Tamandua tetradactyla: one gene and its partner. The protein of the gene in region 1 binds, or shares a complex with, the protein of each later gene. Links are inferred from orthologs where the notes say so. Each region holds a gene or a part of one and is shown on either strand. Other genes may lie near its edges.

Region 1 (7,169 bases):
GTGTTTATCTAGTATATTCAGCTTTGCCAGAGATAAGGAAAACCAGAGAGTAAGAGATCTAAATCGTATTTTTTAATACATTCTTCAAGATATAACACAATGCACATGGTAGGCAACTTGATGAAAAATGTGAATTAAATGTTGGAAAAGTCTCATGGCAAAGTCAGGTGACTTTACTTCAGTTTCCGATATAAATATCTTCAATGTTCTATTGGCCTGTTGGCAATGTGCTCACTTATCAGTATACAGAGTAAGCCCTTCATATCCCAGAAGTTTTCTAAGATGGAGCCTCCATCAAATAATTCTGAAAAATTCTATATGAACTCTTTTCTTACTAAGCCCCTCCCCCCCACACTATGGTGTTCACTCTTCCTCTTGGGTGACTAACTGCATTGACTTCCCACCTGTGGGGAGTGTGGGGGAAAATGACCAATACCTCTGTGAATTCAGGCTCCACACCCCGTGCTTATGGGAACTCTCCCCCCTCGAAAATTCTGGCCCAAGACAGACAGCTCAACCAATCTCCCCGTCCTAAACCTGAATCCCAAACCCAAAGCTAAACCTTACCTCCCAATGCTAAACCTGAATCCTAAACCGAAGTCCTACGTCCCAAGTTAAACCTGGGGCCTTCCGGTCCTAGTTCCCAGGACACCTGACCCACAGCATCGGGAGTATCTGGGAACTTGTGAGAAATGCTCATTCTCGGGCCCACCCCGACCTAGTGAATCCAACCCTCCGGGGTGGGGCCGGACTCCCCTGGGTTTTCTGATACTCCCAAGCCTGAGAACGGCTGTTCCACAGCAGGAGCCACAGAAGCATGCTTGTGGACTTACCCTGGGAGCCTGCAGGTGGCACTGAAGGCCAGCCAGAAGGATGACAGGTTAGAGCCCTGCCCACTTTCACTGTTCCAGAACCGGCCTGACCGACCCTTTAGTTTCCTCATCAGTTATTTTCTTCATCAGTTCTTTACCAGCGGCTTAGGCCGCCCTAAGGTCACAGTTCCTTATAGCTCTGAACAAGAACAGGGCTGAAATTCTCCTCACAGCACAGCAGTGGACATTTTAAACCTACAACTGTCAGGATTTGATTGATATTTAGGGTCTTAGGCATTTAAATACAGTGAGGCTGCAAACACACTTCAAGAATGAAGCTGTTGGGCGGGCCGCGGTGGCTCAGCGGGCAAGAGTGCTTGCCTGCTATGCCGGAGGACCCCGGTTCGATTCCCGGCCCCAGCCCATGTAAGAAACAAACAAACAAACAAACAAAATATAATAAAACAAGAAAATGTTTAAAAGATGTTTCCCTTTCTTCCTTCCATCCTTCCTTCCTTCTCTCTGTCTTTCCTTCCCTTCCTCCCTCTCTCTTTAAAAAAAAAAAAAAAAAAAAAAAAAAAAAAAAAAGAATGAAGCTGTTAATGCTGAGTAAAACAGAACAGAATAAAAGACTCAAATTACCCTCAGTACGGGGATCTGAATGATAACCCTATATTGCATTCTGAAAGAGTGATTAGAGTTCATAACCTTTAAATCCAATTGCACTGATGTGGCGGAAGTGAGAAGGGAGGATTTTTCTAATGTAAAGCATGTAGAAAAGTAGCCCTTTGGCAGAATTAAGCTGAAATCTTGAATTTCACACTATTTTACTATACAAGCATCTCTAGGGAGCACAGGGCACCACAGGAAGGCTCACTCACTCACGGGTGGCGGGAGTGTAAATTGGTACAACCACTTTGGAAACTGTTCGGCAGTATGTAGAATACTGGAGAAGAGACAGTATGCATATTTGGACAATGAGATACACCCGAAAGCAAAACCACAAAGCCAAACCAAACCACTTCCCCACCCAACATGGATGGACCTCACAATTTTGAGTGGAAAAAACCAGAGGCAAAGGGGTACACATTTCAGCTGACCCCAATCTCTGGCGACCGGTGGGCCTGGAACTCCGGTGGCTGAGAACAGCTACTAGTTTGAGGGGAATGTGTCAACACACCATTCATTAACCACCTAAACTGCACGCTGTACTCACTGCATTTTTCTACGCTAAATCTCACAAATACGGTCAACAGCAGATTGCCCTTCTTTCCAATGTCACACCATTAAACATATCCTATACAAAAGCCAAACCTTTCTGCCTCACACTCTCTAACCACTACCTCTGACTCGGTAGCTTATCGGGTTGGGGCTTTCTCGGGTCGCAACGGAGTGGCCCTGGCCCCAGTTCCCCGCACGCCCTGTATCGCTGGGTCCGGCGCAGGCAGCCTAGTGGTCACCGTTGCCCGAGTCGCTGAGAGCTCCCCCTTGTCCTAGCTGCCGCCACCTTCCTTTACGCCCCAAACTGATCTCACACCTCAGTTGTCCCTGGCCCGTCTTCGCAGGCAACTCCGGGCCTGTTGGATCTCAGGACCCGACACGGACCCGGGACGCCGGGCCAACTGCCGAGCGCGGTGGTGGGTACCCAGTTATCCCCCAAGGCAGCGCGCCCCGGGACCCCGAAGCCACCCAGCCCTCTGCAGGCCGGGCCCAGCCCTCCCGCCCACCGGTGCATAAGGAGCCCGCCTGAGACGCCAGCTTCTGGCTAGAGCAAGACGAGAAGTGCGTCCCCGAGGGAAGGCCGTGCCGCTCCCACGTGCCCAGGCCCGCCCGGAGCCCCGGCAGGTTTGCGGGGAAGAGGGGTTGGTGGGGAGGGCCGGGCGGCCGCGTTTACCTGGGAGCAGGAAGACGTACTGGCGCGCGCGCCCCGCGTCCCCGTATTCCCCGCCCGCCGCCATGCCGCGCGCTGCTCCCGGGGCCCTGGGCTCGCGGGCCGGGGCTCGGGAGCCGCCAGTGGCGGGAGAACGGCCTACTGCGGACGCCGAGGGGGTGGCGCGCGCGGCCCGCGGCGTTCCGCTTCCGGAGCCAACCAGCCGCCGGGGCGCAGCCGGGCCTCCGCCTGGGTTTTGAATTTAGCGCCGGGCCCAGGCGACCGCGGCGACCATGGCGGCGGTGCGCGGGGCCTCCCCTTCCGCTCCCGGGACAGCGGTAGACGCCGAGGTGCGCGCCCTGAGGGCGCAGTGACGCGGCGACGCGGGTGCGGCGGGGGTGGGGTCGCGGCGGCCTGGCCTGGGGCGCCCCACTGGGCGGCCCTTTCCCCTCGCCTGGTGATCGGCGCGGGCGAGGTGTCCTCTCCCCCCACTCCACTCCCGCACCCTTGGGGCAGGGCACCCCGCGCGGGAGCCCCGGGCCTGGGCCCGACAGCCTGGAGCCAGCCCATGTTGGGACAGTAGCTGTCGCGTCCCAGTCGTGAAGGAACTCCTAGACGGGTGTTCGGATTTTTTCTGCGCTGGAATTAATGCCAGGCTGCGGTGTGCACCTGAACTTACAAAATATGGGAAGCGGGTCCTCCACTGGGACTTAGTTCCATCGGCTAAAAGAGGCGCGCAATTGAGATCTCAGAATATGAATCTGTTTGCTTTAGGGGAAGACTATTTGCCATGAATTAAACGGAAAAAAATTTAAAGCGGTTTCTAAAAAAGCTAAGGCCGTGATACTTAGATATTAAACGCACAAATAAAATTTTAATTGAAAAGGTAAGGATTGGTACGTGGTTCAAAAAAAAAAAAGGGAAAGAAAATTATTTCTTTGATACTTCACAGAAAAGTATATTTTTCTCTTACTCCAGATCCGTAATACCCCTCCCCAGAGGCAGTTCTTGTTAGTAGTTCTTGATTATTCTCCCAGTTTTTCCGTGTCAACTCAAGCTCCGGGTGGTTTGATTTTTGCATAAAATGAAAGAGAAACATCCACAATTCATGCATTTTGCTTTTTTGTTGTTTGTTTAATTCTGAAGATGGTTAAATTTGTCAGATCCATCTCAGCCATCGGAACAGATTTTTAACTTCAATACTGTTTGCAGTGGGGTTGAGACAGATGCAGCTGAAGTTGAGTGTAGGACATCCCTGGTGCAGAGGGAGTCTTCCTGGCTGCGGGGTGAGGGGTGGGGCAGATATTACCTTGACCCCTCACCCCCCAAATTAAACTATTACCTTGACCCCTCACCCCCCAAATTAAACTATTACCTTGACCCCTCACCCCCCAAATTAAACTATCTGAAAAGCCGTGGTATAGGCTGAATTGAAAGGCACAACATCACCAGAACGGACAACAACCCTTCCTCATGCCCTGGCTCTCCGGAGCTGGTTTCGTTTTTTTCTCTGATCCTTTCCAGCCTGTGGCTGTATGAATATGTTCTTTTATGTGAATGTTTTCACAGTGGAAAGACAATTTAGCCTGCTTTGTCTTTCACTGTCATAAACATTTTTCCCATTGTATTCAGAAAAATCACCGCTAATGGATGTGCTATGTCGTACTGGTTATGTACCACGGTTATTGCAGATGTTTATTATAAATAAAGCTTGAATGTATATTATGTATGGACATACATATTAAAGCATTCAAAGCTATAGGCAAGATGTACATGTAGCCATGTGGATGCTTTCTATTGAGAGAGAAAAAAGATTTTTAGCAGATGACCACATAGGTAAAGTAGAAACACATACATAGAGCACTACATATTTTCCCAGGATATGTGCATAGTTAAGGCCATGTCTCAAATACATAGAAAATGTGTGTCTTTAAAATGCAGGGAGTGTGGGTAAGGCTGAAGGGTGGGGTTAAGACAATAAAGAGGGGTCAGGACCCCCAGGGACACCTCACTATGGTATGAAATGAGACTCTCATAATCAGTATGAAATGAGACTCTCATTCACTATGAATGAGAGTCGATCCAAAGACACAGATTTTTTTTTTTAAGTGGTGCAGCAAACATCCATACAACTTTCTTTTGTCCCATTTTTTTGTTTTTCAATCTACTCAATTTAACATTTGTTCTGCCTATTATGCATTCATTTTTATTCCATATGTTTTTCTCGTCTGTCCATACCATAGATAAAAGGAGCATCAGACACAAGGTTTTCACAATCACACAGTCACATTGCGAAAACTGTATCTTTATATAGTCATCTTCAAGAAGCGTGGCTACTGGAACACAGCTCTATGGTTTCAGGCACTTCCCTCCAGCTACTCTACTATACTTATACTAAAAAGGGGATATCTATATATTGCTTAAGAATAACCTCTAGGATAACCTCTCGACCTGTTTGAAATCTCTCAGCCACTGGCACTTTATTTTGTCTAATTTCTCTCTTCCCCCTTTCAGTCAAGAAGGTTTTCTCAATCCCTTGATGCTGAGTCCCAGCTCTTTCTAGGATTTCTGTCCCATGTTGGCAGGGAGGTTTACACCTCTGGGAGTCATGTCCCACATAGAAAGGGGGAAGGTGGTGAGTTTGCTTGCTCTGTTGGCTGAGAGAGAGATGTTTTGTTTTTTAATGACTTAATATCTTCTTTTTTTAAAACATTTTTTATTGTGAAATATATATACAAAAAAGCAATAAATTTCAAGGTACAATTTAACAAGTAGTTATAGAACAGATTTCAGAGCCTGGTGTAGGTAATAGTTCCACGAGTTCAAGTTTGTCCTTCTAGCTTCTCCAAGATACTGGAGACTTAAAAAGAAATAGCAATATAATGATTCAGCAATCATATTCATTTGTTAATTCCTATTTTCTCTGGTTTAACTCCTCCTTCTCCTGTGATCCTTCTCCCAGTCTTTAGGGGTATTTGGGCTATGCCCATTCTAACTTTTTCATGTTGAAGGAGGGTGTCCACGATGTGGAATGGGGGGATGGAATTAGTTGGTGTTCTTAGAGAGGCTGGTCCCTCTGGGTTGCAGGACTTATCTGACCTCAGAACCCATCTGGAGGTTGTAGGCTTCTGGAAAGTAATCTTTTAGCATGTGAAACTTTTGTAGAATCTCAGATAAAGCCCTAGGTGTTCTTTAGGGTTAACAGGAATGGTCTTGTTTGGGGTTTGGCAAAATGTAGCAATTAGCAACATCTAACTGAAGTTTGTGTAAGAGTAGCCTCTAGAATAGTTAAGTATCTTCTTGAAAGGGGGTGCAGTGGTGGTGTGGAAATTGATGCTAGGTCCCTCTGTCCTCTAGTTCAAGTCCAAGGTGCTAAGCTTTAAATACCTGGCCACAGCTGCCAAGGCCTTCTTCACGCACACCCCGCCCACAGCCATAAGAGCTGCCTGCATCCAACACTTGGCATTGCGTCCCCCATGCCTGGTGCTCTGAGCACTCTACTTGCCTCCCTGTTCTGGCACTACCTTCTGGACAACTGTCCCTCACCCATCAGTACCCCTCTAGCACCCTCCCCTAGGAATGAGTAATTGCCCTGCAGGCTCTACCACCAGGCCCTCGTCCCTTGAGATAAGGACACCACTTAATCATTCATCCCTTTATCCTCAGAAAATAAAATTGGCTCATACTAGTGCTAGCACTCAACTTGGATTATCTCTTTCCATCCCCCATCAGCCCTGTGGGGAAATATTAGTATGATCACCCACATTTTTACTGAGAAAGAGTGTAAAGTTGATAAATAATCAAGTAATCGCTCAACAGAGCACAATTAGCGAATGGCAGGGGATTCCAGAGACTGGCTCTTAGTCAGCCCCCCTCCTCAGTGACCCAGTGCCTGGGACAAAACTGTCTGGGCCCAGAGCAGGTGCTCAGTAAATATTTCTTGAGTAAATGTTTATGCAGATAGATAGGTGGTCATGGTAATAGTCAAGGACATATGTTATTAACTAGTTTTAAAAACAAGAACAAATCAATTATGTCCAGTATATCCTAAAATGTTCCATAAAATCATTTTTATTTATGCGAAAGAGACAAGCAGGTCACTCTCCAGAAAATGAGACAGTAGCAGCAACCTGAGTACCTCTGAGTAGAGAATCATAGAGACTTTTCTAAATGCTGGGAGCAATGAGATGTTCATTTTCAAACAAAAAGAAAAACGAAGCAAAAACCCAGAACTGGGGGCTGGAGGGGAAGGATGGGTTCAGAGCCAAATGACCTTCAGCAATGTTTTAGCCCTGGCCTCAGTAGCCCTGGCCTCAGCAGAGAGAGCTCGCACTAAGAGCAGTGGAGAAATTATTTTTTCTCTTATGGATTATTAAAAACTTATGAGAGGATGAGCCACGGTGCCTCAGCAGGCAGAGTTCTCACCTGCCATTCTGGAGACCTGGGTTTGATTACTGGTGCCTGCCCATGAAAAATAGAAAAACAAC
Region 2 (7,090 bases), on another chromosome or scaffold:
AAAGTGTATAGGTCCAGTATGAGACTGGTTGGTTCTAAGGGTGAGGAAGGCTTTTTAAAGATAGTGGAGACATTCTAGGGCCCTGACATGGGAGAAGGAAGATCTTGCCAAGATATGTAACCAGTTGGCTTCAGAGGGTCTGAGGGTCTCTTCGGGAGCTGGCTGCCAGTGCCCAGCAGAAATGCCTCAGGACCCAGTGCCTAGATCGCAGCCTGGTAGAAGGGAAAGGGCTACTACAGAGTTCAGGGCCATCACTGGGAGAAATGGCCTTGGTCTTAGAAGAGTGCTCCTCCTCTGTGGGTCCTCACAACCAGCCAATCAGGCCACCCTAGGACAGCAGAAGACTCTCCCAAGGCCTCAGCTAGGGGGAGGGTTTGAGAATTCAAACATCCTCAGGCCTGGACTCTGGATGGGGGCCTGCTTCACTTCCCTCCTCACATATCCGAACCCAGCAGGGAGTCTGGGATGACCCAAGGCAAATATATGGCATCTCCTTCCCATAAGCCATTCTCTCTGCACCTTGCACCCTTCTGCCCTCACTGGCTTCTGAGCACCTGGGTGAAAAGTGAATGCTCCATAAAGGAACAGCCAGGTGCCAGCACTTGACATTTGTTATTAATTGTACAACAGACCAAAGAAATAGGTGACTAAAGAAATAGGTGTTAGTCCTTTATGAGGAAACAGACACAACAGACAAGCAATCTACCCATGGTCACAGAAGTACCGAGTGGCAGGATTGGAATGGGGCAAGGCAGTTTATACCAGCAAACCATACTCTTAAATGTTGGTTGCATTAATCTGTGACCACTTACCCTCTCCTACTCCATTGCTTTAGGCTATGAACTTTCTAAAGTGGAAGGGAAAACGGGGACCCCTGAGAAGCCCCTCTCAGATCTTGGACTCTTGTCCTATCGAAGCTACTGGTCCCAGACCATCCTGGAGATCCTGATGGGCCTGAAGTCTGAGAGTGGGGAGAGGCCACAGATAACCATCAAGTAAGCAGGCATCTGGGGAGGGCATGGCCTGTCTGTCCCTGGGCTTTCTCACTCCCTCTGGGGCAGAGATGAGGACCCTAGAGGACCTGACCTTTGCCCTCCCACAGCGAGATTAGTGAAATCACCAGCATCAAGAAGGAGGATGTTATCTCCACCTTGCAGTACCTCAACCTCATCAACTACTACAAGGTAGGGGGCAGGCATGGGGAGACAGGTGGAGTGGGATAGGGTGCACAGAGTGCAGGCCTAGGGTGGGCTGACCCCGTCTGCCTCTCTCCCCTACCCAGGGCCAGTACATCCTCACTCTGTCAGAGGACATCGTGGATGGGCACGAACGGGCTATGCTTAAGCGGCTCCTTCGGATTGATTCCAAGTGTCTGCACTTCACTCCTAAGGACTGGAGCAAGCGGGGAAAGTGGTGACCAGGCACTGCTGTGGCAGCACCAGTACAGCTGGCAGAACTGGGGCTAACAGCCCATCCTGCCTCCATGGGGTCCTGAGAGGCACCTCAAGGGAGATGGGGCTGACTGCCCCAAAAGGAGAGGACAGGGCCGGCTGGTGCCCAGCACCAGGCAAGCTGAGCACTCAGGCCCACTCCCAGGTCAACTGGTTGCAAACCCAGTCTGTTCTGAGCCAGGGACCAGGCAGCTGTGTATAGTGCGATGGGGGGTGGGGGGGATCCTCTGTTCAGAGGGCTGGTTGGGTGTAAAGATTTCTCTTGTAAAGTAGAAGTTGGGGTGGGTATAGGCTGCAGAATTCTAGCCTCTCTTGCCCCAGTTTCCCCACCCCTGGTAATAAATTGTTTCTAAAGGTTAGAGTCATGAAAGGTTCCTGTGCTGGGGGGAAGAGGGCTGTGCCAGCTTCGGACTTGGAGGTGCCACAGACTCACAGGTGTTGTGAAGAGTTGGTTTATTGGCTGATGGGATCAGTGGCTCCAAAGTGAAGAACTGGTTTATTGGAGTGAAGGATTCCGCAGCTTTCAATTTCATGCGCTGGTTCTCAGTCCTCAGACACCTGTGCATGAATCTGCAAAGGAGTCACCTCCAGGGTTGGATTTCTAAAATACAGTGACTGGGTGGCCTACCTACGGGAGAGATCCAACTGCCTGGAATGATACTTACTTCTAGATAGGCCAGAAAAGAGTGGCAGGGAAGCCAAACTGTCTTTCACCAGCCTAAGAGGCCCAGACTTTTACCTACCCCATTGTGCTACCCGAATCCACTAAGGCAGCAAGATGCTGGACAACCGGACTCTAACTTTGTAAGGCACGGGAGGGGAATAGGCGAGGTCTCAGAGGCTCGGGAGGGAGAGGGTCCACCCTTCTACTCACCGCTGCAGCCAGGCCTGGCCACGCCAGGGCCCCACGCACTTTAGCATCCGGGCCAGGTATGGTCTCCAGACCCCATAGGGTAAAACGGCTGAAACTGGAGGTGGCCCCCATAAAGCGATCCTGGGGAAGGGGCTCGGCTCAGCCTCCCGGCCGCAGCCCCACCCACACCTCCTTCCAGCCCCATCCCCCTTTGCTCACGAAGTCCCGCTCCAGCGGCTCCTGCTCCTCTTCCTCGGCGTTCCGCGAACCCCCCAAGAAGTCCTGCTTCCCTTCGAGCCCTGTTAACACCTCTCTCTCCTCTTCCATCGTCAACACGTATCCCACGAGGCCGGGCGGCACCATCAGCTCCTCGCCGCGAAGACTGCGGCCCCGAAACGACACCTGAAGCCCTGGCGGGGGTAGGGGTGGGGGCTCAGCTGCAGCCGGACGCAGGGGGCCGCGCGGGGGCTGCCGGGAGCCGCGGTCCAACCCGAGCGCTCACCGTCCGGGCCCCGGCGGACCGCGGGCGTGAAGAAGCAGCCCACGGGGGCGGGCCGGTTCCGCGGGACCTCACAGGGCAGTAGGTGTAGCGTGGCGGGGGCTGCGCCGCGGAGCGTGGTGGGGCGCACGTGGACGCGCTGCTTCTCGGTGACCGCCTCATCGCTGCTCTCCATTGTCCCGCCGCCGCGATCCTGCTGCTCGCCGCCCAGGCCGAAGCTGGCGCGTCAAGCGCGCGGAGCCTCTCGGGAGGCCGCGTTGGGTCAGCGCGGAGCCTGCTGGGAAGTGTAGTCCTTACTTGTGGCGCCTCCGCAGGATCCGTCCCTTGAGTTCGAGTCCCAGCCTTTATTCTCTTTCATTTGCTTTTAATGATACATGCTCATTATAAACAACTAAGAGGATTCCGAAAAGTATACCTTTTATATTGAAGTATAGGATTGCTCACTGTTAACTTACTAGGAATAGCAACCCTTCCTCAAATGAATTTAAGATATTTTATTGGAATTTGTGGTTCGTCTTCGAAACCTGAGTTTGGGTGATTTTAGTTATACAGAAGACTTTTTTCTTTTTTGTGGGGAGCCTCATTTTTTCAAAACATTTTTATTGTGAAATATAACATGTACAAAAAAGCAATAAATTTCAAAGTGTATTGTAATGAGTATAAAATAGATTTCAGAGTTGGGTATGGTTTTTGGTGCTACAATGTTAGGTTTTTCCTTTTGGCTGCTAAAAGACACTGGAGACTGAAAGAAATACCAGTATAATGATTCAGCAGTTATACTCATTTGTTGAATCCTGCCTTCTCTGTTATACCTCCTCCTTTGATCCTGCTCTGAATGTTTAGGGGTGTTTGGTCTATGCCTATTCTAATTTTTTTATGTTGGAAATGGGTGCTGATAATATGGGATAGGGGATAGAACTAGTTGATGTTCGGAGAGGCTGGCTTCTCTGAGTTTTAGGACTTAACTGGTTTAAGAACCATCTGAAGGTTGCAGGTTTCAGGAAAGTAATAGAACCCTAGTTTTTTTTAACTTTTTTATTGTATAGTATAACATATACGAAGCAAAGAAATAAAAAAGCAATAGTTTTCAAAGCACTCTTCAACAAGTAGTTAAAGGACAGATCCCATAGTTTGTCATGGGCTAACAAAAGATCCTCTCAGATTTTTCCTTCTAGCTGCTTCAGAATATAGGAGGCTAGAAGGCATAAATATTTTTTTATCATTACAATTTACTTTTTTTCCTTTTTTGTGAAAAATAGCATACATACCAAAAAGCAATAAATTTCAAAGCACTGCACCACAATTAGTTGTAGAACATATTTCAAAGCTTGACATGGGTTGTAATTGTAATTGTAATTGTAAAAAATACATAGGTTTTTAATTCTAGCTGCTCTAAGATACTGGAGACTAAGAGATATCAATTGAATGATTCAGCGTTCATATTCATTTGTTAAATCCTATTTCCACTGTATAACTCCACCATCACCTTTGATCTTTCCATACCTCTCTTTAGGGGTGTTTGGGCTATGGCCATTCCAACTTTTTCACATTGGAAGGGGCTGTCACTAATATGGGGTAGGGAGATGGAACTATCTGATGTTCTGGAGAGGCTGGGCTAGGTTTCAGGACTTATCTGGACCAGGGACCCATCTGGAGATTGTAGGTTTCTGGAAAGTTTCTCTAGTGCCTGAAACCCTTGTGGAATCTTATATATTGCCCTAGGTGTTCTTTAGGATTGTCTGGAATGGTCCTGATTAGGATTTGGCAGGTTATGATAGGTAGCAAGGGCTACCTGAAGCTTGCATAAGCGCAACCTCCTGAGTAGCTCTCGACTCTATTTGAACTCTCTCTGCCACTGATACTTTATTAGTGACACTTCTTCCCCCCTTTTGGCCAGGATGGAATTGTTGATCCCACAGTTCCAGGGCTGGATTCATCCCTGGGAGTCGTCTCCCATGTCGCCAGGGAGACTTTCACCCCTGGATGTCATGTCCTACCTAGGGGAGAGGGCAATGATGTCACTTGCAGAGTTGAACTTAGAGAGAGTTAGGCCACATCTGAGCAACAACAGAGGTCCTCCAGAAGTAACGCTGAGGCATGCCTATAGGTAGTCTAAGCTTCTCCGCTACCTACATAAGCTTCACAAGAGTAAGCCTCGGGATTGAGGGCACAGCCAAGCCCTAGATGTTCTTTAGGCTTAACAGAAATAAAATAAAATCTTAACAGTATCCTGTGTATTCTGCTGCGCTTAGGGGAATGTTCTATAGATCTCTGTTAGGTCTAGCTGGTTTAGAGTTGTGTTCAACTTTTCTATTTCCTTATTAATCTTCTATCTAGATGTTCTTCCCATTTATGAAAATGGGTATGTTTCTCTCTTTCAGTCAGAATACAAGGATCTTGGAACTAAAGGGTGGAACTGAGAGCGACTTCTTTCACTATTACACATAATGCTTGTCTCACATTTTTTTCAGCTTCTGTTTGAGATGGTTTTTATATTTACATAAAACTTGCAAAAATAGAACAAAGATTTCCCATGTACCCTTCACCCAGCTTCACCTAATAGTAACAACTTACGTAACTATAGTGTAATTATCAAACCCAGGAAATTAGCATTGATACAATACCATTAACTAAATCTGTAGACATTATAGAATTGTGCCTGCATCCGGTCCTGATTCTGGATCCCACATTGCATCTAGTTTTCATGTCCTCTTGTCCTCTATCTGTGACAGTTTTTGACCTTGACACTGCTGAAGAGCACTGGCCAGTTCTTTTGTAAAATGTCCCTTAATTGGGGTTTGTCTGATGTTTTCCCATAATCGGTGATAGGAATTCATGGCAGGAATACCATAGAAGCAATAGTGTGCCCTTGTCAATGCCTCACATCCCTGCATTCATTAAATAGCGGTGTTAACCCTGGCCACTTGGTAAGTGTCAGGTTTCTCCTCTGAAAAGCCACTATTTTTTATTTTTTAATCAGAAGATGCCTATGCAACCAGTTTCTCTTCGTAAGTTTTACCCACTTATTTAGACATTCATCGGTGGTTCTTGCTTGAAACAATTATCGCTATGGTGTTTGCCTGATGGTGATTTTCTATTTCCAACATTCTGTCTGTATTTATTAATTGGAATTCTGGAGCTGTCCTTTCTTCCCCGTATATTTATTCAACTGTGGATTTATAACAGCATGGGCTCTTGGATATTTATTTTATTCTACAGGTTTTAATCTGTTGCTATCATTATTTATTTTGTTGCTCAAATTGTTCCAGATTTGTCCATTGAGGGATTCAAGTTCCCTGCCTTTGTATATTCAACAAGTCCCTGTCATTTTAAAAAATATATTTTTATTGAGATTTAATTCACATGCTAGCCCCCCCTTTAAACTTTACAACTCAGAGCTTTTTAGTATATTTATGAGATTGTGCAATTGCATTACCTAATTCCAGAATATTTTCAACAACCCAAAAAGAAATCCCATACTCAGTTTCTCCCCAATCCCCCTCCCCAGCCCCCAGAAACCATAAGTCTACTCTCTGTGTCTTTGGATTTTCCAATTCTATATATTTCAGATAAATGGAATAACATAATATTTGGCTTTCTGTGTGTGTCTTTTTCACTTAGCATAATGTTTTCAAGGTTCACCCATTGTTTTGGTTTGTTAAAGCTGCTGGAGTGCAATATACTAGAAATGCAATGGCTTTTAAAAAGGGAATTTATTAAGTTGCACATTTACAGTTCTGAGGCCATTAAAACGTCCAAACTAAGGCATCCAGAGAAAAATATCTTTTTTATGCTGTATGGTGGAGGTCACATTTTGTTCTTTTTCCATGTGAATATCCCCTTATTGCATATAGCACCATTTGTTGACTTTTGTTTGGTTTGGTTTTACATTTGTTTATTTGTTTGTTTGGGAAGTGCATGGGCCGGAAACTGAACTGGGTCTCTCACATGGCAGGTGAGAATTCTACCACTGAACTACCTTTGCGCCCCCTAGAGAATGCTAAAGAAAGACCAGTGGGTCTGAAACAGCTGTCAGCTGGGAAGGCACGTGGCCACCTCTGCTAGCTTTCTCTCCTGGCTTCTTCAAAGGGCTTCCCCAGGGGCGTTTTCCTTCTGCATCTCCAAAGGTCTTTGGCTGTGTGGGCTCTAAAGCTTTTTCCAAAATGGTGCCATCTTACAGGACTCTAGTAAGCATCCCTACCTACGATGGGTGCAGACACAGCTCCAAGGAACCACCTAATCCAAACATCCCCCCCCACACAATTGGGTGGGTCACATCTCCATGGA

Evidence for each region. Proteins that work in one complex are often made in the same cells at the same time.
Region 2: the proteins of RNASEH2B (region 1) and RNASEH2C are in contact, whole or in part, in a crystal structure (PDB 3PUF), measured with the Homo sapiens proteins. The link is inferred for Tamandua tetradactyla from reciprocal best matches to the Homo sapiens genes RNASEH2B and RNASEH2C. Residues at the interface, in NP_078846.2 of Homo sapiens: Arg14, Gln15, His16, Val17, Phe18, Leu19, Val20, Ser21, Glu22, Leu24, Leu35, Met36, Phe37, Val38, Lys39, Leu52, Glu62, Lys64, Phe66, Glu68, His70, His71, Ser72, Trp73, Phe74, Ile75, Asn76, Gln77, Ser78, Val79; in NP_115569.2 of Homo sapiens: Ile9, His12, Arg13, Val14, His15, Leu16, Ser18, Ala27, Thr28, Leu29, His30, Leu31, Leu32, Pro33, Cys34, Glu35, Val36, Ala37, Val38, Asp39, Gly40, Pro41, Ala42, Pro43, Val44, Gly45, Phe48, Phe63, Val75, Pro77.

The regions. Positions count from the first base shown.
Region 1 is NC_135330.1:106,847,631-106,854,799, forward strand, and holds the start of RNASEH2B (ribonuclease H2 subunit B), read right to left. Parts: upstream 3,018-7,169; 5' UTR 2,771-3,017; coding exon 2,707-2,770; intron 2,658-2,706; exon of another isoform or gene 2,566-2,657; intron 1-2,565. UniProt on the Homo sapiens protein: Non catalytic subunit of RNase H2, an endonuclease that specifically degrades the RNA of RNA:DNA hybrids. Participates in DNA replication, possibly by mediating the removal of lagging-strand Okazaki fragment RNA primers during DNA replication.
Region 2 is NC_135335.1:8,802,220-8,809,309, reverse strand, and holds the start of RNASEH2C (ribonuclease H2 subunit C), read right to left. Parts: upstream 3,021-7,090; 5' UTR 2,979-3,020; coding exon 2,807-2,978; intron 2,715-2,806; coding exon 2,524-2,714; intron 2,446-2,523; coding exon 2,326-2,445; intron 2,022-2,325; coding exon 1,995-2,021; 3' UTR 1,418-1,994; coding exon of another isoform or gene 1,283-1,417; 3' UTR 1,185-1,282; coding exon of another isoform or gene 1,103-1,184; 3' UTR 996-1,102; coding exon of another isoform or gene 836-995; 3' UTR 1-835. Other genes in the region: histone acetyltransferase KAT5, read left to right, coding at 836-995, 1,103-1,184, 1,283-1,417.